Rattus norvegicus: one gene and its partners. The protein of the gene in region 1 interacts with the protein of each later gene in a biochemical or structural test. Links are inferred from orthologs where the notes say so. Each region holds a gene or a part of one and is shown on either strand. Other genes may lie near its edges.

Region 1 (3,512 bases):
TTGCTTCTGTTTTAATGACCTTTAGAAAATGGTCCAAACTGATTATCAGCAATACATTGTTTTTGCTTTTTTTCTTAAAAAAAATATTTTGAGACCACTTTTGATAAGCACACATATAATGTGGTCATAACAGACAAATAGAACTTTAGCAAGACTAAACAAAAGTGCAAAACTTAAAAAACAAAATTAAAAAATATGGAAGCATAAGCTAAAGTTTTCTGCATAGCTGAAATCTATTTAAAGCAAGTCCTTGCTGCAGGGGTGGGAAGGGGTGCTGACAGGAGGTTAAAGCAGTTTTTTTTTTTTTAAAATGTCTTCTGCATGTTTAAATGATGCAAAAAAATAATTTCACTCCATAAGCTTGAAAACATCTCACAGACAATTCATTCCTATATCTTTAGACACCATGGTTGTGGCAGTGCCTCCCTCTGCGAGGTACACAGCAGTGCTAGATTTAGAATGGACTGCCCTGTCACTGCCATTGTTGTTGACCTCACAGTCCAGTGGCTCGGTGGAGATGACCCAGGTGGATGGGCGCCACCGCTTAAGAGAGTATGGAGTTTTCACACGTCTCTTGATCTTTTCGCCTGATCCTGATTTGCCATCCTGCGTTGACTCACCTACTGGAAACAAAAGGAAATGAGCTGTGTAAAAGGAAAATATTTTTTTTTTAATTCTTTTTTTTCGGAGCTGGGGACCGAACCCAGGGCCTTGCGCTTGCTAGGCAAGTGCTCTGCCACTGAGCTAAATCCCCAACCCCGAAAATATTTAAAAGTAGAGGAGTTCGTTGGGCATATAATGCAGCTGATGGAGTGCTTGCCTAGAATGCAAAGGGTCCTGAGCTCCAACTCAGCAGCACAAGAGCCCCCCAGTCCTGGTGCATATGGCAGTCACAGCACCTTGGAAGTAGAAGCAAGAGGGTCAGAGGCTCAAGATCCTCCGCACAAGGCCTGCCTGAGCTGTGTAAGACGCTATCAGCAAAACCAAACAAAACTAAGCTGGATGGAGAACAAGGGGCTGAATTTCACAAACAGGTCAAGCCAGCATAGAGTCCAATGAAGGACATTTCTTGAATATGTGATGATTCTAGGTGATGTTTCTCTAGGCAAAATTCAACCAACTCAGTTTTGAGTCTTATCTAAAAAAATAATTAAAACTCACAAGAACTAAGAAAATTCAAAATTCTTCATTATATTCTCAAATTCTTTTGTTCTGGTGTAGACTCCAACTTGCTTAAAAACAGGTATCATTTGACTTAATGCTGACAGCAGGGCTAGCTGTGAGTGGGTGATGTACTCCTGTAATCCAAGTTCCTAGAATCCAAGGAGAAGGATACTGACTTCAAGTCCAGCCTCTGGCCACAGTGAGTTACTGAATGAGTCCTTGTCTCAAAAAGACAAAGCAAAACAATGTCCAAATGACCAAATCATACGGTCTCTAACACGTAACAGTTTTGGAGGGATGACCATTATCCCATTAATTCTGTTTTCATACTTGACAAGAAGCTTTATGGATACAGAAGCACGAAAGTTGAGTCAACTAGCTTGTAATATAAACCACTTAAGCAAAGAGCCAGGTTTTCTTTTCTTTGTGGTTCTGGAACTAAAACCTAGGTCTTATGTATTATGGGCAGGTGCTCTACCTATGAGCTACACCTCCAGGCAAGGGGTAGATAATTTGCTATTCGGAGACCTTCTTTCAGTCCACTCTTTAGTTTAAGAAAGCATAAAACACATAAAAGAAGTCTCTTGACTTCTACAATTTATTAAGATCTGGGTGTGTTGGCACACTCCTAATCTCAGCACTTCGGGAATTTAAGACCAGCCTGGTCTATAAAGTAATTTTTCCAACCCCTTAATACAAACACACACACAGACACACACACACACACACAGACACACAGACACACACACACACACACACACACACACACACTTACTCTGTATACTGCACACACACACACTCTTACTCTGTAAACTGCACACATACACACACACATTTACTCTGTATACTGTACACACATGCACACACACACACACACACACACACACACACACACACACACACACACACACACTTACTCTGCATGCTGCTGCCATCCAGGATATTTGTGGCTGAAAGATCCAGAGAATTGGGCCTCTGTGCTCTTCTGGGCTTTGCTGGCCCAGGGTCTGCAGCTGTGCTTGTAACACCTTGTGTAGGGACATCTTGTTCTGAACATGGATTGCTGTTGTTGTTATTGGAATTAGTTCGGCCACCTTCTAATGGCCGTTCCCTCCTGTCTACCAAACGATCCAGAACCCCTTCATCATGGCCAGCCTGCTGCTCTCGTCTCAGTAAAGGTTCATGTTCATCAGGACTGGAATTGATATTCAGTCTGGTATCCTCACCATTAAATTGATTCTGCAGCATTTCTTGGGCCCTATGTGCCACTATGTTGGCTGCCTGGCCAGATGGCACTACCCCATTGGCATACTGGGTTGTGGCAGCATGGGAATTAACATTGTGGCTTCTACCTGCCACACCATTCATAGTTACTGTCACCACATGAGGCTCTGCTGCATTGATTGTATTCATCTTGGCAACTCCAGTTTCTACTTGTTTCAAGTTTGATTTGTGCTTGTTGCCAAATTTTAGCCGGGGTTCTTTAGTTGAATTTTTGGTGTTCAAAGGCAAACTAGTAGGTCTCTTCGGAAGGTTCTGTTGCTTAGGGAGAGGATAGAGCTGAGCAGGTGGGACATCAGGAATTAAACATGCTTGCCCATTTGCAGCCTGTGTGAAGTCCTGTTGTCCAGTCACTTCCACCGCAAGCTTTATGAGTGGATAAAGCAAGCTGGAACTGGTACTGCTCAACGGGTCTGGCCCACTGAACTGCTTCAGAGAATGCTCCATGAGATTCTCATCAGAGCTTTCCTTGAGGTTCTTATCAACTTCTTTTGGGTCTAGCTTATTAGTTTCCAAGTCTTCTTCTGTCAGCTGTAAGCAGACAGGGGTTGGCCCGAGTGACTGTGCAACATTTGTGGCATGCAAATGTGTCTCATCTGGGTATGGCATCTCAGATATCGTGGTCATGCCAGTACTTGGAGTGAGGCCAGAGGTGTTTGTGGTGGTTGTGTTTGTGGACAGGCTTGTGACGCTTGTTTCTGGGCTAGGGATTCGAGCTTGTGCTTGCTGTCGTTCATAATTAATTGAGTTTCGGTTCTTTTCTCCTATTGTCAACGGTGTGCTGGACATTGAATGCTCAGAGGAAATATTTTTCACAATGCTGTCAGTGTGATGAATTGAGTCTTCAATATATGAGGAAGAGGAATAATCTGGGTAAGGCCCGATTTTTGGCACACGCCTATTATGTGATAGGTTGCTTGAAGAGAGAGAAAAACGTAGACATTGAGAACACAAACTTAATAACAAACTGTCATCTATTCCCAGCAAACACTACTGATTCCAAAGCCCCACTGCTTTTCATTTTATGCTTTACAGTCTTTTTATTGCTTTTTTTAGTTGAATGTATA
Region 2 (4,219 bases), on another chromosome or scaffold:
GCCCTTCATAACCATTGGCTGCCTCAAGGAAGATACACCCCTTGCTATGTGACCTGCCGGTGGCTCTTTTTCCTATTATCAACCAGACTTCTCAAAGTTTGAGTCATCCCTTATTGGGGATGGGGGTTGGGCTGCCATTTCAGAGCATAGATTTCTACTTAAAATGTATCCTCTCAAGAAAGGCAAAGCGAAGCTTTAAAAAGGGAACTTCTCTCCTAGCTCCCCATTGTTCTATAAATTGCAGCTCACTGACAGACAACTCTGAATTCTTCTAGAACTTGAAGGAACTGATATCCTATTGAGATTGCATTAAACCAAAAGCACATTTAAAGTGACACACACGGAATTGAACTGAGGCACGATTATTATTATTATTATTATTATTATTATTATTATTATTATTATTATTTTTACTAACTGCTATAAGGACATTGGCACAAGAGACTTCAATAGGCCTCTACAGCATGTCTTACCCACTAAATCTCCTTCCGAAGAAATAAACATTACTCTACCTTGGGAAACCATACTCATATCGTATTTTTTTAAAAATTCCATTACCTTGTCTAGGAAGGTAGCAGGCAGTGGGAGAAAATGCTTTTATCTGAAGGCTTGACCTGTCTCCACTTGGAGACTTAAGAGTTAAGCAGGAGAAAGGAAGGTCATTGGGGAAACAGTATGATGGATTGTGGAATTGATCTCCCACGGGGATTAGATAGGGATTCAAAAATCTTTCAAACGAGGCCCAGATGAACAGCAAATTTGAATGCTTTGGGGCCCTGGATTTGATTTGTTAATACTACCTCTGCCTAGCTTAAAACTCCAGCCTGAACACAAGCCACAGATCTGAGCTTCCACACAGATTTAAGGAGCCCCAACTCCCTGCCTTCTGTGAAATTCTCCCACAATGAGCTGACAAGGGGCTAGCCAGTCTCTCACCCTCTTCCCCATCACTCGATTTCCCTCCAGTTCTAGTGGGGAGGAGTCTGTCTGCTGGCCACCTGCCAGGAAAAGGGTGCGGACTCACCAGTGGGGAATCCCTGGCTCGGGGCCACAGAGGGGACGGTACAGAAGCCGAAGGACCGTCCACTGTGCTAGCGGAGGCCCGGGCTGCCCACTGAGTCTCCGCCCGCTGTCCCCGCCCCGCCACCCGCCGCCCGCTCACCTTCGTGATGGAAGCTGCGCACGGTGTTGGCGCGGCTGGCTGCCCTCTCCAGCCGGTGGTCTGGGGCGGGCGCTCCTGGCTGGCCCGAGTGCCGGCGGTACAGGTCGAGCATATAGGGGGGCACCACGACGTCCTTGCTGGGGGTGGGTCTCTGCTTCAGGCCAAACATGCTGAGCAGCCTCAACTCAAACTCGCTGAGGACGTCGTCCGAAGGCCGGGACAAGGGGCGGCCGGATGCCCCGGCGAACTTCTTGCGGCCCAGCTCCGGAATGAGGCCGGCCGCGCCGCCCAGGAGGACCTGGGGAAGCAGCAACACTAGAAGACAGCGGGTCCCGGCCACCATGGTCGACCTGCGGACAGGGCCGACGTGAGTCACCCACGTTCCCCGCCCAGTCCTCCGCCCGCCCCCGCGGCCCCGGCTCCCACAGGGCTCGCTGGCCTTCTCCAGGATGCCCTCCTGGCATGTCATCCAAGCTACAGCCTGGATGATCAAGAGGATGAAGAACCCCTAAGTCCCAGCCGGACTTCTCACTTGGGGCTTGGTCTTAACTCCCAATTTAAAAAAGAAAAATCAATGACTGTCTGTCACCTTTTCTTGTGACACTAGCTAGTAAAGCCTGTGTCAGGAAGCTGGGAACCCATAGATTGTTCGGACACTGCATCCCTTACAACTATACTGCACAGCGTTCATTTGCACATAAACAGACACAAATGCACAAGTGACTTCCTTAGAGGCGCCGTATAGAACTTCCTGGTAGATTGTAGATTCAGAAAGCGGTAAACTAAAGATTAATACTAATGACGCCACTTGCAAGTCGTGGCCTACGCCCCTAACTTCAAGGTTGACCCACAGGCCACTCTGTCCCCTTCTCCAGACCCCTGTGCAGTCAAGAAATCCATGCACCTTTCTGCAATGACCTAAATAGATAGTGTCTATAAATGCACGTGTAAGCTGTGACACATCCGCACAGTCAGTAAACACACACAAAAAGAACCCCGACTTTTAGTAGCTTCCTAAATGGGACCTAGTTCTTAAGGATAGCGAAGGATCTCTAAGGCTTGGAGTGCTGGTGGGCAATGAACTAGTGAAATCCACCGGCCATACTCTCTAAATGGATTTCTGCAATTTGGGGGCGGAGGAGGGGGTAAAGCCCAAAACAGCCCTGATAATGTATTTAAAACTGGGGAGGAGGAACGGGCTGAAAGGAGGTCGCAGACCAGGTGGGCAAGACAGAGGGATCTGGGGTTCAGAGTGCCTGACCCCTCTAGGGATCCGCTCGCTGCACGTGCACCGGGAGAGGGTATGTTTACGTCCACTCCACCGGTCCTCCGAGGCGCCCAGCGCCGCCGGGCGGGAAGCGGTGTCACCCGCCAGCCCTGGGTCCGGGCCCGTGTCCTCTACCTTTAGGAGACCGCAGTCCGTCTAAGAAGCACTAGGGGGCACGTCCATTGAGAGAGTCTCCACATGGAAAAAGCTCTGTCCGAGGGACCTGGAGCAGCGACTGGGCTTCTGTTGCCTTTCTTCACCTCCTCCTTCTCCGGGTGTTCTCCCCGAAGGGAACCGTGTCTTGGGGTGGGCCCAGCCGGCCAAGGAACAGAGAGGTGACCGGGCTGGAGGCGGCGGCAAGACTGGATCCGCCGGGCGAGGACACCGGCGCGAAGTGGGGAGCCCAAGTCACTCTCCCGACAAGTTCAAGAAGTCTCCAGCCAAGTGCTGACACACAGCCTCAAGCAGGGGGAGGAGTGCGGGGCAGGGACGGGGAGGGAAGGCTGAGGCAAGGCTGCTGCTGTCGTCTTCCTCAGGGACCAGCGCTGGCGGGGCGCGGGGCCGGCTCCGGGACTCGCCGGGCGAGGGTCGGACGTTCTGCGTTAGCTGGGCCGCGACCCATGGCTCGGGGCAGCCATCGTGGGCGACGCCGGGTCCCGGCAAGGGCGCAGCGAAGATCTGGGTGGCGGGCGGGCCGCCACTCCGCATCCCTCAGCCTGACTCTGGCGCACCCCCATCAGCGCTCGCCAGCGGAACCCGCACGGCTGCGGCGTCCCGGCGTCCTGGGGCTCATTCTCGAGACAGTCCAGCCGCGCGTCCCCGGCTGCCAAACCGGGTGACCTCACGCTCCGAGCCCTCGGGCCAAGTGTCTTTTGTGGCAGCCTGGGGTCCGATCACTCTTCCTGCTCGCCTCGGGCGCTCACTCTCGTGTCGGAGTAGCCCAGCGTTGAGGGTAAGACTGTGCTCCGGACTCCCGGCTCTTAGCGTCGGTCCGCGACTCTGGCTTCTCCCGGACAGCTGAGGCCACAGAGCCGGGCGCGCACAGTTCGCAGCTCCAACCGGTGTCGTGCCGGCCCCTCGAAGCCCCGGGTGACCCTCGCGTCGCTCGCCCTGAGGGCGTCCGATGGCCGGTGTGGGCTAGGGAGGCTTCGTCCCGAGCTGCCAATCCCGGGCGGGCTGTGGGAAGCGCAGCGGCGGGCGCAGTGCGAGCCGGGCTCTGCGCGGCAGGGCGAGGACTCCGGCGGCGACGACGGAGGCGCCGTGGCGCGGCGCTCGCGGCTTTTAAAGGAGACGCCGCCTGCCGGCTCCCTCCCGGCCGTGGCCGAACACCTCCCCCTCGGAGGCGCAGCGCGCTGGGGATCCCCGGGCGGGCGGGAGCAGCGCGCAGGGGTGTGGACGGCGCGCCCTGAGGGGCGGCCGCGGCGGGGCGGGGCGGGGCGAGCGCGCGGCCGCTAAGGGGTCGCGTCCCGGCTGAGTGTAAAGCAGACCCCCGGGACCAGGATTCGTGCCCCAGATGCCCGAGTTTAGGGCAAATTCAGGGTAGGCTTGCCTCTGAGTTCCCCCACTGGGCCAATATTCAACTTGAGTTTGAAGTTTTTAGGTAAGATCACATTAAAAAGAAGAACCTAGAAGTTATCAGACATGTTGGCAAAGATGTGAGCAAACGCTTCTCTGTTTTGAATGGTGAGAAGAAAATGTCAAGAAATAGCCAATACACATTCGAGTGTATTATTACATTTTATAAATATTCATACATTTATATGCGCCCATGTGCATATATAGTCAAATAA
Region 3 (4,020 bases), on another chromosome or scaffold:
TGAGGCCATCGTGAGTTACCTGAGACATTATCTAAAGAAGAAAAGGAAGAGAGGGAGAGGGGACTCTCTTCAGTTAAGCAGGTATTCAATTCTTCACCAGCTCCTAGAAAAACAACCCCCGGAGAACTTGTTTTTCCAACTTCCTGCAGGGGTCGCTGCTGCCTTAGGCTGGGGCTGCCACCTCGGGCCTCAGCCAATTTCTAAGAAAACTGGCGGTCTTTGCTTGGGTAGTGGCTGAGGTACGCACACCCTGGACCTGTTTCCAGCCAAGGGGGCTACAGGATGGCAGTGCTCAGCCAATGGCATTTGGTGGGGGTGGTATAGTGGGCAATGACTTTTTTTTTCCTGTTTTTTGGGTCACAAGTTTATCAAAATAAAAGAAAGTGTGGGTAAACGCTGCCATCTGTGCTGTCCTCAACACACGCACACACATGTGCACACACACATATATACACACACACACACCCTACACACCACACTCCACACCACACACACACACACACCCCACACACACCCCACACTCTACACCACACACACACACACACACACACACACACACACACCCGAGGTCCCAGATGAGACAGAGAGATTGAAATTGCTTTACAGACACTCCAAGGACTTCACTGAAAACCTACCTCGCATGTTTAGTCCCTGCAGGTCTCTGCACTCGCTCTTCAATCTCTCCACTCAGGATGGTGGGGTGAGCTGCTCCAGGAGGTGGAGGTGAAGACCCCTGAGTCTACTCTGGGATGGGGAGGCCCCCTAAGCCTGAGTCCTGCTATGGGGCTCTGAGCCAAGAGCCCCCATGAGCCATGGCCTCCAAAGGGCAGCGGTGATTTTTTTCACATAAATATATCGCACTTAAATGAATTTAGACAGCATGACATCAGAGAGTAATTAAATTGGTTTGGGTTGGAATTCCGTTTCCAATTCCTGAGTTCAGGTTTGTAAAAGATTTTTCTGAGCACCTGCAGGTTTGTGTGTGTGTGTGTGTGTGTGTGTGTGTGTGTGTGTGTAAGTATTTTCACTGGAAAGGATTCAAAATTAGAGGGAAAAAAAACTGGAGCGCACAGGCAGCATTACGCCATTCTTCCTTCTTGGAAAAATCCCTCAGCCTTATACAAGCCTCCTTCAAGCCCTCAGTCAGTTGTGCGGGAGAAAGGGGGCGGTCGGCTTTCTCCTTTCAAGAACGAGTTATTTTCAGCTGCTGACTGGAGACGGTGCACGTCTGGACACGGGAGCATTTCCACTATGGGACTGGATACAGACACACGCCCGGCGGACTTCAAGACGCTCACTCTGAGGAGAAAGCCCTGCCTGCCGCTGCTGCTACTGCTGCCACCGCTGCCTCTGAAGACCCACTCCTTTCATGGTTTTTCCTGCCAAGCCAGAGACACCTTCGCTGCTGCTGCTGCCTTTCTCTGTGGTGTCATTCAGCGGCTGGCCAGAGGATGAGACTCCCCAAACTCCTCACTTTGTTGCTTTGGCACCTGGCGTGGCTGGACCTGGGACTCGTCTGCACTGTGTTGGGTGCCCCTGACTTAGGCCAGAGACCCCCAGGGGCCAGGCCAGGGTTGGCCAAGGCGGAGGCCAAGGAGAGGCCACCTCTGACTCGGAATATCTTTAGGCCAGGGGGTCACAGCTATGGTGTGGGGGCCACCAGTGCCAGGGCAAAGGGAAGCTCTGGGCAGACACAGGCCAAGAAGGATGAACCCAGAAAGGTGCCCCCCAGAGCCAGTGGCTCTGAAACCAAGCCAGGACCCTCTCCCCAGACTAGGCAGGCTGCAGCCCGGACTGTAACCCCAAAAGGACAGCTTTCTGGGGGCAAAGCATCTGCAAAAGCAGGATCTGCCCCCAGCTCCTTCTTGCTGAAGAAGACCAGAGAGCCTGGGACCCCTCGAGAGCCTAAGGAGCCATTCCGCCCGCCCCCCATCACACCCCACGAATATATGCTCTCGCTGTACAGGACGCTGTCCGATGCTGACAGAAAGGGAGGCAACAGCAGCGTGAAGCTGGAGGCTGGCCTGGCCAACACCATCACCAGCTTTATTGACAAAGGGCAAGGTGAGGGGGTGGGGTGGCAGGGAGGGGCATTTGCACAGACCTAGAAGTTCCAAAGTCTTGGAGTATGCAGGTGGGGGACAGTGTGTGTACCCAGCCTAGGGTGGGAATCTGGAACTTATCGTACCTAGGGACCTTGGAGTTCAACTTCTGCAAGGTGCAGAATGGACTCTAAAATGCAGAGAGGAGCTAAGATCTGCTACTTGGACACTAGACTCCAAGACCCATTCTTGATTACTGAGAGGTACTCTGTACCCCCGTGGGTTGGTAAAGTCTCTAAGCTTCGGTTTTTCTCAGAGAGCAGAGAGAAGGAAACTTTAGGTCCCCATGGTTCTTCAACTTTACCCTCAGATAGGGGTAGAGGGAGCAGGCTATGTGAGGACAGAAAACTTGTCATCTTGGAGTCACAGAGAGAGGCAGCTGGCTGAGGGCACACGGAGTCCCTTCTTCCCTGGGGTCTCTTCTTATAGGTATACTACACGGGCATTGGACGGGGTGACAGCTGAGCATTCTGAGTGGGAATCAGTAACCTGGGAGAGTACTTGTCTTTCTTGCGTCGCCGGAGGTCTGCCCACCTAGTGTTTCAGGCTCTTCCTCTCAACTTGCTGTGTGTTCTCAGCAAATCTCTTCCCTTCTGAGTCTCAGGTTCTCCACAGTGTGGAGATAGTTGGGCCGGTGGCTGGCAGTTGGTGAGGTTTCTTGCGGGTTCACAGGCTCTGGTGCTGAGTCTCGGGACTTTGGCTGGCAGGGTGGGGGAGGGGCCAGAGAGTGGGAGAGGCTTCTCATTAGAGTTGGTCTGTAGGGGAATGACAAGGGGGTGGGGGAGGTACAGAGGCAGCAGGTCTGGCAGAGGTGGGGGAGGTGGCCTGGCTGCCTGCCCAGCCAGGGAAAGCTGTGACCCCTCGAGGGCTCATAAAATAAGTCCTTGTGTCCCCCCCCAGCACTAAGGGAGAGAGGGGAGGGGGAGATGGGGAGTTTAAAGGCCTAATTAGTTACCTTCTAGAGCAATATTTGAATGTTCCCTAATGGCATATTGGCATTTAGGAAGGAGGGCATGCTGATTCAGAGATTACACACACACACACACACACACACACACACACACACACACACACATACACCCTTATATTTTATACACTCAGTAAATGAATCATATACATACACACATACATATATAGCATCATTTTCAAGTATTCATACAATCCCAACTCTACTTACATATGCCAGTAGCATATATATATATATACACATATATATATATCCATCCTTATACTTACTCATGAACCCAATTGCACACACACACACACACACACACACACACACACACACCCACACCTGGAACACTCATATACCAAAAAAATCATGAAATTGGGAACTTGGGAAGTTGAGTTTGCAGATCGGCTTTGTTACTGATTTGCTGTGTTACCCACGTCAGTTTCCTCCCCAACTCTGTGTCTTGCCCATAGCAAGAACGCTAACATCATTAAGGTATGAGAAGCTCAGAATGGACTATTCAAATTCTAGGCTACAGTTTTACTTCTCTATTTTTCCCCTAGCTAGATGACATTGAATAAGCCCCTAATTTACTCTGCGCTTCAGTTTTCTCCTCTGGAAAAGTGGGTAAGACAGGTACACACCTCCTGTCTTATTTACAGGAGATAATCATGCTGGATCATGGATGGGGCGGACACTGGTAGAAGACAGTTATAAGGCCAATGACTCTAATACACATGGGCACAAACATCAGGGGCACTCAGATAATACGCAGCCTCATACCTACCTTCATTGGGAAAAGGGCTCTTGGTGGTTTGTGTGTTGGCTTCAGCCATAGTGGGGAAGAGGTTAGAGAAACCTCTTTTGATTGGGAGAGAGCTAGGTCCTCTCTGGAGACCCAGAGGTGGCGGGCTCTCTTGGTGAAGTGACAGAATTGACTTCTGACTGTTTTCTCTAGATGACCGA
Region 4 (4,002 bases), on another chromosome or scaffold:
ACATACGCACACATACACACTCACACACACATACACACACATACACATACGCACACACACTCACACACATACACACATACACACTCACACACATACACACACATATACACACACTCACACACACATACACATACACACATACACATACTCACACACACTCACACACACACATACACACACATACACATACACACACACACACTCACACACATACACATACGCGCACACACACTCACATTCACACACACATACACACATACACACTCACACACATACACATATACACACACTCACATACACACACATACACATACTCACACACACTCACACACACTCACACACATACTCACACACACACTCACACACACACTCACACACACATACACACTTCTACACTTGTATACTTGCATGCACCAGCACCATACAGAGCAGGGTCAGGGATGGAGCTCAGAGCCTCAGATACATGTGTTTGTGGGACTAATGAGCAGCCAGCTTCCTCCCCCAGCACAGTCAGAGCCAGCACTGGAGGGTGGCTTGAACATGACCACCCACTGTCAGGAGCTGGAAGTGGCCTACATGTAGGCAAACGCATCTTCTAAAAGGAAGCTCAAAGGGCCCAGGCCACAGCGTGGAGGAACAGTGGGAACAGGAGCTATCATCTGTTTTGCCTGTCCACAGAATGCCCTGGGCCCGTCCACACTCCATTCTCAATACTCAGGAGCTCTTCCCTCAGAGGGCAGCGCCCAGATACACTGCCGGGTCCCGTAAGGATACCGTAAGGACCAGACTTCGCCTACCCCTGATGCAATCTCCCACACCTCCCCACCTTCCTGACCCCCACAGCTCGTGTCATCTTCTGGGTACTTGGTGAGCTTTCTATATTTAGGGAACTTCCCAGCCTCATTTTCTGAATTCTTTGTTTCTGTGGTCCAGCAGAGAAGGTCTGTGTACCCTGCCTGGAGTTTTCTGAACCAAGCCAGCAAGGAAATGGACAAAGATCCTAATTAGGGTGGATGACCCTCCGGAGAAATGTCGATCCTTTACAGTAGTCAGGATCCTTCCCACCAGCCCCTGGTGCTTGTCAGATGTTTATACAGCCTTCATTAAAGAGAGCTGCCTTAGATAAGAGGTCTGAGCATAGCATCCACACCCAGATAAGTAGAGTGGGAGATTGTCGGGCTGTTGGGGAGAACTGAGCCAGCCAGGCTCCCTGCTGAGCAGTCAACAGGACAATGTGGGCCTGTTCCTCCTGGGCTCCCCATTGCACCTAGTGATACAACACAACGGCCTGCAGGGCAGTCCCCCTTTAGGGCCCAAGATGTCCCCTGGGGCCTTCCGGGTGGTCCTGCTCACGCTGCTCCTGCTGGTCTGTCCCACGCAGCAGAAGCCGCTGCAGAGCTGGGGGCAGGCATCCCCTGGGGGAAATGCCCGCAGCTCCCTGGGATTGTCTGGAAGCAGAGAGGAGGGCGTCTTTGACCTGAAGATGTTTCTGGAGAACATGAAAGTGGACTTCCTGCGCAGCCTTAACCTGAGTGGCATTCCCTCTCAGGACAAAACCAGAGCGGAGCCACCCCAGTACATGATCGACTTGTACAACAGATACACTACGGACAAGTCGTCCACGCCTGCCTCCAACATCGTGCGGAGCTTCAGCGTGGAAGGTACAGTGCTTTCCCCGGACTTCCATGGGGTGGGACATAGTGCGCCCTGCCCCCCACAGTGCAGTGGCTCTGCCGGGTGGGATGGCCACTGACCACAAGCGGATCTTCAGGTTTCTATTGAAGTGACCCTTGGTGAAATAGGGAGAAAATACGAGTTTCCTGTTCATCATTCGCGTGTGGCTAATGGCTTCCCCACAAGGCAGTGCGAATCATGGGTCCTGTCCATCAACACTAAAGGGTCCGGTGCACAGCCTGGCTCCTCCCCAGAATCATATCCACGGTTAACCCCGTATCCAGTATACCAGGTTTCTGCGTCCCTCTGTCCACTTCCTCACCTTCTTTTTCTTTCCCTGATTTTTGCTTCAGTCTCCTTCGATCTCCTTCTGTCCTCCCCCACTTCCCCTCCCTCCTCTCTCACGCCTCCTCTTCCCTCTCCTCCCTTTTCTTTCCACTTGACTTCTCTTCCTCTTCCCTTCCTATCTTCCTCTCTCCCTTCCCATCTTCTTCTGACTTAGAAATAGATCCTTCATTTAGCCTTCAATAAACTTGTATTTTTTTTCAGCTTTAAAGGAAAGGGTTCTCTCTTATAAAGTGCACTTTAGACCCAGATTTTAAAAAGTTAATAGAGTAGGACTAGAAGAGGCCCTCATTATGTCCAGGGTGTAATCTTCCTCAGGGCAGTAGGCAGTGTGTCGGTCCAATACGTTTTCCCTGCCAAGTGTCCATGATTTAGGAAGATTAGAAGGCAAACACGGAGGCGAGGTCTATAACTGGCAAGTCACAGAACAACAGAATCTGGGTAGAATGAGTTACTGAACAGAGAGCTAGGGTCACCAAGGCTGAGGAACCCAGGTCAGGCACCCACTGCGAGGTCACGTTGCCGTCCCTACATCCTGCATAAAACCAGCTCCAGTCGCCCCTTCTTCTGTTTGGCATCTTGCTCTGAAGGACCCGGAGCCCAGGTCCTTTCTCTCTTTCTTGTCCAGAGATTTGCAAATGCCCAAGGGTCCCAGTTCAGGGCCACAGCCAGGCCCGGCCAGATCTGTCCAACTTTTCTGGCTGCTCAACAGGAAGTTTCAGAGGAACATGAAACTTCCTGTTTAATGGCTTCGTTAAAAGCATATAGTTTAAGCCACTACCTAAAGACTATACATGGACTGACCCTGGACTCTGACCTCATAGGTAGCAATGAATATCCTAGTAAGAGCACCAGTGGAAGGGGAAGCCCTGGGTCCTGCTAAGACTGAACCCCCAGTGAACTAGACTGTTGGGGGGAGGGCGGCAATGGGGGGAGGGTGGGGAGGGGAACACCCATAAAGAAGGGGAGGGGGAGGGATTAGGGGGCTGTTTGCCCGGAAACCAGGAAAGGGAATAACATTCGAAATGTATATAAGAAATACTCAAGTTAATAAAAAAAAAAAAGCATATAGTTTATAGGTCACCAGGCCCCTGGGTTTGTCTAGGATCTCTACCTAGGGTAAAGGCTGGTTGTTTTTTTTTTTTGTTTGTTTGTTTTGTTTTGTTTTGTTTTTGTTTTGTAATTGGGGACCTAAGTCGTCATATCCCACAGGCCAGAATGTGAGCCCAGCCAGAGATCCCAACCCCCTCCACGTATGTCATTGACGCAATTAACTCCGTGTACTCAGTAGCAGCAACATCAACACCGTTCACGTGTGACCTAGGAAACACTCGCCTAATGCCCGTGGGTGTGTGGTTTCTGGTGTCTGGCAGTGAGTGGTTCCACAGCCACTGTGGAGGTAGCCAGAGTGAGGGCGCCATGCTTTGTCACATGCACTGGGCTTGCACGGGGTTGGAGGGGACAGAAGTGTCATCTAAGCATCAGCTGCTGGCTTGTGAGTGGCCTGCGAGCTTCATGAGCCACCTTGATAAACTGGTGAGAAGGGCCCTGTGGTGCAAGAGAGGAAACGGAGGCAACAAAAGGCTAAAAATTTCCCAAGGATACAAGTCCCCAGTGAGGGACCATCAGGTTGACCCCTCTATTCTCCAGACCAGTCGCTAGATCTCAGTAGCATGGGTCTCTGCTTATCTTTCCCCATGCAATAGACCCATCTGAGAGAGCCTAGGCCTATTTCTGAGGTTCTACTGTGTCTATTAAATGTACATCTAGAAACAAACAGCTCATAATTTCGAAGTCACTTTTGTCACGGGTATATTTTTTTAAACTTCCCATTTTCTTTACTCTCGGTTAAGCTCTGGCTGAGCCTGATTTACACACTTTGCATCAGCACGGGCGTGCGTGCACACAGAAGGAACACGGTGTGCAGGGCTTAGAACTACCTGTACCTCCGGGCATCCAGTGGTTGTATCAGAACACGTCTCC
Region 5 (4,286 bases), on another chromosome or scaffold:
ATCCTTTACACTTCTTTCTCAAAGGTTTCCCGAAAGCTTTCCCCGTCCCGAAAACTGGGGCGGGGGGCGGTGAGGCTGGAAAGCAGCCGGACACGTCGAGTTCCTAAGTGAGGCAAAGAGGCCGGGTGGAGCGGGCTCTGGAGCGGGAGTCCCGGGACTCGGGTCCTCCTCGGATGGACCCCGCGCAACGACCTCCTTGAACAGAAGAGTTGCGCTTCCTGAGGTTAGAACAGGCCCACGTGTGTGGCATCTTGGGATAGTCAGGTCACCCCCCGCCCCCGCCCCCGTCATTGCCTGAGTTGTGTGTTGGTGAATTTCTTGGAGGAATCTTTGCTGCGATTCTGTAGCTGGTGCAAAGGAGGAAAGGGGTGGGGGGAAGGAAGTGGCGCGCGCGGGGGTGGGGGGTGGTGGGGGTGGGGGTGGTTTAAAAAGTAAGCCAAGCCGGAGGGAGAGGTCGAGTGCAGGCCGAAAGCTGTTCTCGGGTTTGTAGACGCTTGGGATCGCGCTGGGGTTTCCTTTCCGCGCCGGGTCGGAGTTGTAAAGCCTTTGCGACTCTGAGATCTGAAAAAAAAAAAATGTGATGCGCGCTCTCTCTTCGGCGACGCCTGTTTTGGAATCTGTCTGGAGCTAGGAACCCAGACGTCCACCCCCTCCGCCTTGAATGGCACCGCCGACCGGTTTCTGAAGGATCTGCTTGGCTGGAGCGGACGCTGCGGTTGGCAGACACGGTGCGGGGACTCTGGCGGGGCTACTAGACAGTGCTTCAGAAGCCGCTCCTTCTGACTTTCCCACACCGCTCACACCCTGACACCCCCGCGGCAGACTGAGTTGGCGACGGGGTCAGAGTCTTCTGGCTGGGAGTTAGATCCGCTAGGGGTCGGCGCCTGTCGCTGGAAGCATTATTTGGCCTCTCGGAGACCCTGTGGAGGAAGTGCCGGAGTGTGCGAGTGTGTTTGCCTGTGTGTGCGCGCGCTCTTGGAGGGTCCCTACGCGTTTTCCTTTTCTCGTAACTCTCGGTCGTGAGGCTTTGAAGGAACTGTCTTTTCGGTCGCCCTCTCGGCTGCACTTAAGCCGTGTCGGCGCTGTAAAGAGAAGCGTCTTCAAGTGCACCCTGATCCCTCAACCTTCAGATAACCGGTCCCCGAACCTGGCCAGATGCATTGCACTGCGCGCCGCAGGTAGAGACGTGCCCCACGTCCCCTGCGTGCAGTGACTACGACGGAGAACCCCGCCAGCGGCTGGTGTCCCGCCGAGAGCTCCTCCGAGCAGGCGGGGACAACTCCCAGACGGCTGGGGCTCCAGCTGCGGGCGCGGAGGTTGGCCTCGCTCGCAGGGGCTGGACCCAGCCGGGGTGGGAGGATGGAGGAGGGGCGGGCGGGCTCTTCGGTGAGTGGGGCGGGGCCTCTGGGTCCACGTGACTCCTAGGGGCTGGAAGAAAAACAGAGCCTGTCTGCTCCAGAGTCTCATTATATTCAAATATTCATTTTAGGAGCCATTCCGTAGTGCCATTCCGAGCGACGCACTGCCGCAGCTTCTCTGAGCCTTTCCAGCAAGTTTGTTCAAGATTGGCTCCCAAGAATCATGGACTGTTATTATATGCCTTGTTTTCTGTCAGTGAGTAGACACCTCTTCTTTCCCCCTCTTGGGATTTCATTCTGTCTTCCCACCCCTGATCGCTGTCTGTCCCTCCCGTCGGACTTCCATTCCAATGTCCGCGCCCCACTCTCAGGCAGCGCTGTCGCTCTCTTTCCTGGCCCCTGAAGGCCAGACGCTCGAAGCGTACGGGGTCCTTCTAAAGCGCTCCCACTGTCTTCTCTGATCCGCTGCGTTGCAAGAAAGTGGGGAACGCGAAGGACCAAAGAGATGAAAGGTCCGCAGGTCCGGGCTGTCCCTTGAGGGCTAACCACTCCCTTCCCAGTCCGGTCCCACTAGCCTGGGAAGGCCAGTTCTTTGCCTCATGTCAAAAAAAAAAAAAAAATTACCCGTGTTCGCTTCGGAATCACCCCTACCCTTCCCTGGGAACAAGACTTTTTCCTGAACATTTTCAACGCAGCGACCACAATGAAATAAATCACAAAGTCACTGGGGCAACCCCCCTGACTTTTTTTCCCAGCCACTGGACCTTGCTGCCTGGTCCAAGCCCGGTCGTCGCTGCTCTGTTCTCCCCTCCTCCTGTTCTTAACCAGCTGGAAGTTGTGGAAATTGGGCTGGAGGGAGGAGGAAGGGCGGGGGGTTGTGGTGGAGGAAGAGGGGGAGGCTGAAGGTCCGAAGTGAAGAGCGATGCCATTTTAATTCTCCCTCCCCCACCCCCCTTTTACCCCCTCAATGTTAACTGTTTATCCTTGAAGAAGCCACGCTGAGATCATGGCTCAGATAGCCGTTGGGACAGGATGGAGGCTATCTGATTTGGGGTTATTTGAGTGTAAACAAGTTAGACCAAGTAATTACAGGGCGATTCTTACTTTCGGGCCGTGCATGGCTGCAGCTGGTGTGTGTGTGTGGGGAGGGTGTGAGGGAGAAAACACAAACTTGATCTTTCGGACCTGTTTTACATCTTGGCCGTCGGTTGCTATCCCTATATGCATATGCAGAGACATCTCTATTTCTCGCTATTGATCGGTATTTATTTATTCTTTAACCTTCCACCCCCTCCCCTTCCCCAGAGACACCATGATTCCTGGTAACCGAATGCTGATGGTCGTTTTATTATGCCAAGTCCTGCTAGGAGGCGCGAGCCATGCTAGTTTGATACCTGAGACCGGGAAGAAAAAAGTCGCCGAGATTCAGGGCCACGCGGGAGGACGCCGCTCAGGGCAGAGCCATGAGCTCCTGCGGGACTTCGAGGCGACACTTCTGCAGATGTTTGGGCTGCGCCGCCGTCCGCAGCCGAGCAAGAGCGCCGTCATCCCGGATTACATGAGGGATCTTTACCGGCTCCAGTCTGGGGAGGAGGAGGAAGAAGAGCAGAGCCAGGGAACCGGGCTTGAGTACCCTGAGCGTCCTGCCAGCAGAGCCAACACTGTGAGGAGTTTCCATCACGAAGGTCAGTTTCTGCTCTTAGTCCTGGCGGCGTAGGGTGGGGTGGAGCGCCCGGGCCCCGGCGGAGGGGGGCGGGGGGGGGGTAGCTGGCAGGGCAAGCTGAAGGGGCTGTGGAAGCCCTTGGGGAAGAAGAGTTCAGGTTACATCAAAGCTCCAAGTCCTGGAGGCTGTGGAACAGGGCCACTTACCTTCAACTTTCCAGAGCGCAGCCTCTGAAGGTACTTTCTGGAGACCAGTGGTGGTGGTGATGGGGGAGGGGGGGCGATGTTGAGGAGGAGCGGAGTGACACCACTCAGACGTGGGCTAGCCCCAGCGGTGTGCTTTAGCCATATCAAAGCCGGGGTTTCTGCCCGTTTTGTTCAAAGCACCTACTGAATTTAATATTACAGCTGTGTGTTTGTCAGATTTATTCAATAGGGGCCTTGTAATACGATCTGAATGTTTCCTAGCGGATGTTTCTTTTCCAAAGTAAATCTGAGTTATTAATCCTCCAGCATCATTACTGTGTTGGAATTTATTTTCCCTTCTGTAACATGATCAACAAGGCATGCTCTGTGTTTCCAGGATCGCTGGGGAAATGTTTGGTAACATACTCGAAAGTGGAGAGGGAGAGAGAGAGAGAGGGTGGCCCCTCTTTTTCTTTACAACCACTTGTAAAGAAAACTGTACACAAAGCCAAGAGGGGGGCTTTCAAAGGGGAGTCCGAGGGTGGTGGAGTAAAAGAGTTGACACATGGAAATTATTAGGCATATAAAGGAGCTCGGGAGATACTTTCTGTCTTTGGTGCTTGACAAATGTGAGCTGAGTTCTGCTGGTTTGCTGGCTGCCCCGTTTCTCTGCCTTCCCATTAAAAGGCACAGTAATTTCCTCCCCTTAGGTTTCCACTACAAGCAGAGTTCAACCAATTCCCCTATTTTGTTTGTTTGTTTGTTTTTTGTTTTTCTTTTTTCTTTTTTGTCTCAGAAAAGCTCATGGGCCTTTTCTTTTCCCTTTTCAACTGTGCCTAGAACATCTGGAGAACATCCCAGGGACCAGTGAGAGCTCTGCTTTTCGTTTCTTCTTTAACCTCAGCAGCATCCCAGAGAATGAGGTGATCTCCTCTGCAGAGCTCCGGCTATTTCGGGAGCAGGTGGACCAGGGCCCTGACTGGGAACAGGGCTTCCACCGTATAAACATTTATGAGGTTATGAAGCCCCCAGCAGAAATGGTGCCTGGACACCTCATCACACGACTACTGGACACCAGAC

The links.
Region 2: the proteins of Bmpr2 (region 1) and Bmp2 form a complex in vitro, tested with the Homo sapiens proteins (4 studies listed by BioGRID and IntAct, with this or other methods). The link is inferred for Rattus norvegicus from reciprocal best matches to the Homo sapiens genes BMPR2 and BMP2.
Region 3: the proteins of Bmpr2 (region 1) and Gdf5 form a complex in vitro, tested with the Homo sapiens proteins (2 studies listed by BioGRID and IntAct, with this or other methods). The link is inferred for Rattus norvegicus from reciprocal best matches to the Homo sapiens genes BMPR2 and GDF5.
Region 4: the proteins of Bmpr2 (region 1) and Gdf2 form a complex in vitro, tested with the Homo sapiens proteins (2 studies listed by BioGRID). The link is inferred for Rattus norvegicus from reciprocal best matches to the Homo sapiens genes BMPR2 and GDF2.
Region 5: the proteins of Bmpr2 (region 1) and Bmp4 form a complex in vitro, tested with the Homo sapiens proteins (2 studies listed by BioGRID). The link is inferred for Rattus norvegicus from reciprocal best matches to the Homo sapiens genes BMPR2 and BMP4.

Annotation. Positions count from the first base shown.
Region 1 is NC_086027.1:68,791,309-68,794,820, reverse strand, and holds part of Bmpr2 (bone morphogenetic protein receptor type-2 precursor), read right to left. Parts: intron 3,362-3,512; coding exon 2,082-3,361; intron 624-2,081; coding exon 373-623; 3' UTR 1-372. UniProt on the Homo sapiens protein: On ligand binding, forms a receptor complex consisting of two type II and two type I transmembrane serine/threonine kinases.
Region 2 is NC_086021.1:141,264,113-141,268,331, reverse strand, and holds the start of Bmp2 (bone morphogenetic protein 2 precursor), read right to left. Parts: upstream 2,809-4,219; 5' UTR 2,565-2,808; intron 1,513-2,564; 5' UTR 1,506-1,512; coding exon 1,163-1,505; intron 1-1,162. UniProt on the Homo sapiens protein: Growth factor of the TGF-beta superfamily that plays essential roles in many developmental processes, including cardiogenesis, neurogenesis, and osteogenesis. Induces cartilage and bone formation.
Region 3 is NC_086021.1:164,915,787-164,919,806, reverse strand, and holds the start of Gdf5 (growth/differentiation factor 5 preproprotein), read left to right. Parts: upstream 1-1,213; 5' UTR 1,214-1,451; coding exon 1,452-2,064; intron 2,065-4,012; coding exon 4,013-4,020. UniProt on the Homo sapiens protein: Growth factor involved in bone and cartilage formation. During cartilage development regulates differentiation of chondrogenic tissue through two pathways.
Region 4 is NC_086034.1:9,260,478-9,264,479, forward strand, and holds the start of Gdf2 (growth/differentiation factor 2 precursor), read left to right. Parts: upstream 1-1,201; 5' UTR 1,202-1,318; coding exon 1,319-1,661; intron 1,662-4,002. UniProt on the Homo sapiens protein: Potent circulating inhibitor of angiogenesis. Signals through the type I activin receptor ACVRL1 but not other Alks. Signaling through SMAD1 in endothelial cells requires TGF-beta coreceptor endoglin/ENG.
Region 5 is NC_086033.1:22,099,131-22,103,416, reverse strand, and holds the start of Bmp4 (bone morphogenetic protein 4 precursor), read left to right. Parts: upstream 1-1,483; 5' UTR 1,484-1,489; coding exon of another isoform or gene 1,490-1,614; intron 1,615-2,663; 5' UTR 2,664-2,670; coding exon 2,671-3,043; intron 3,044-4,046; coding exon 4,047-4,286.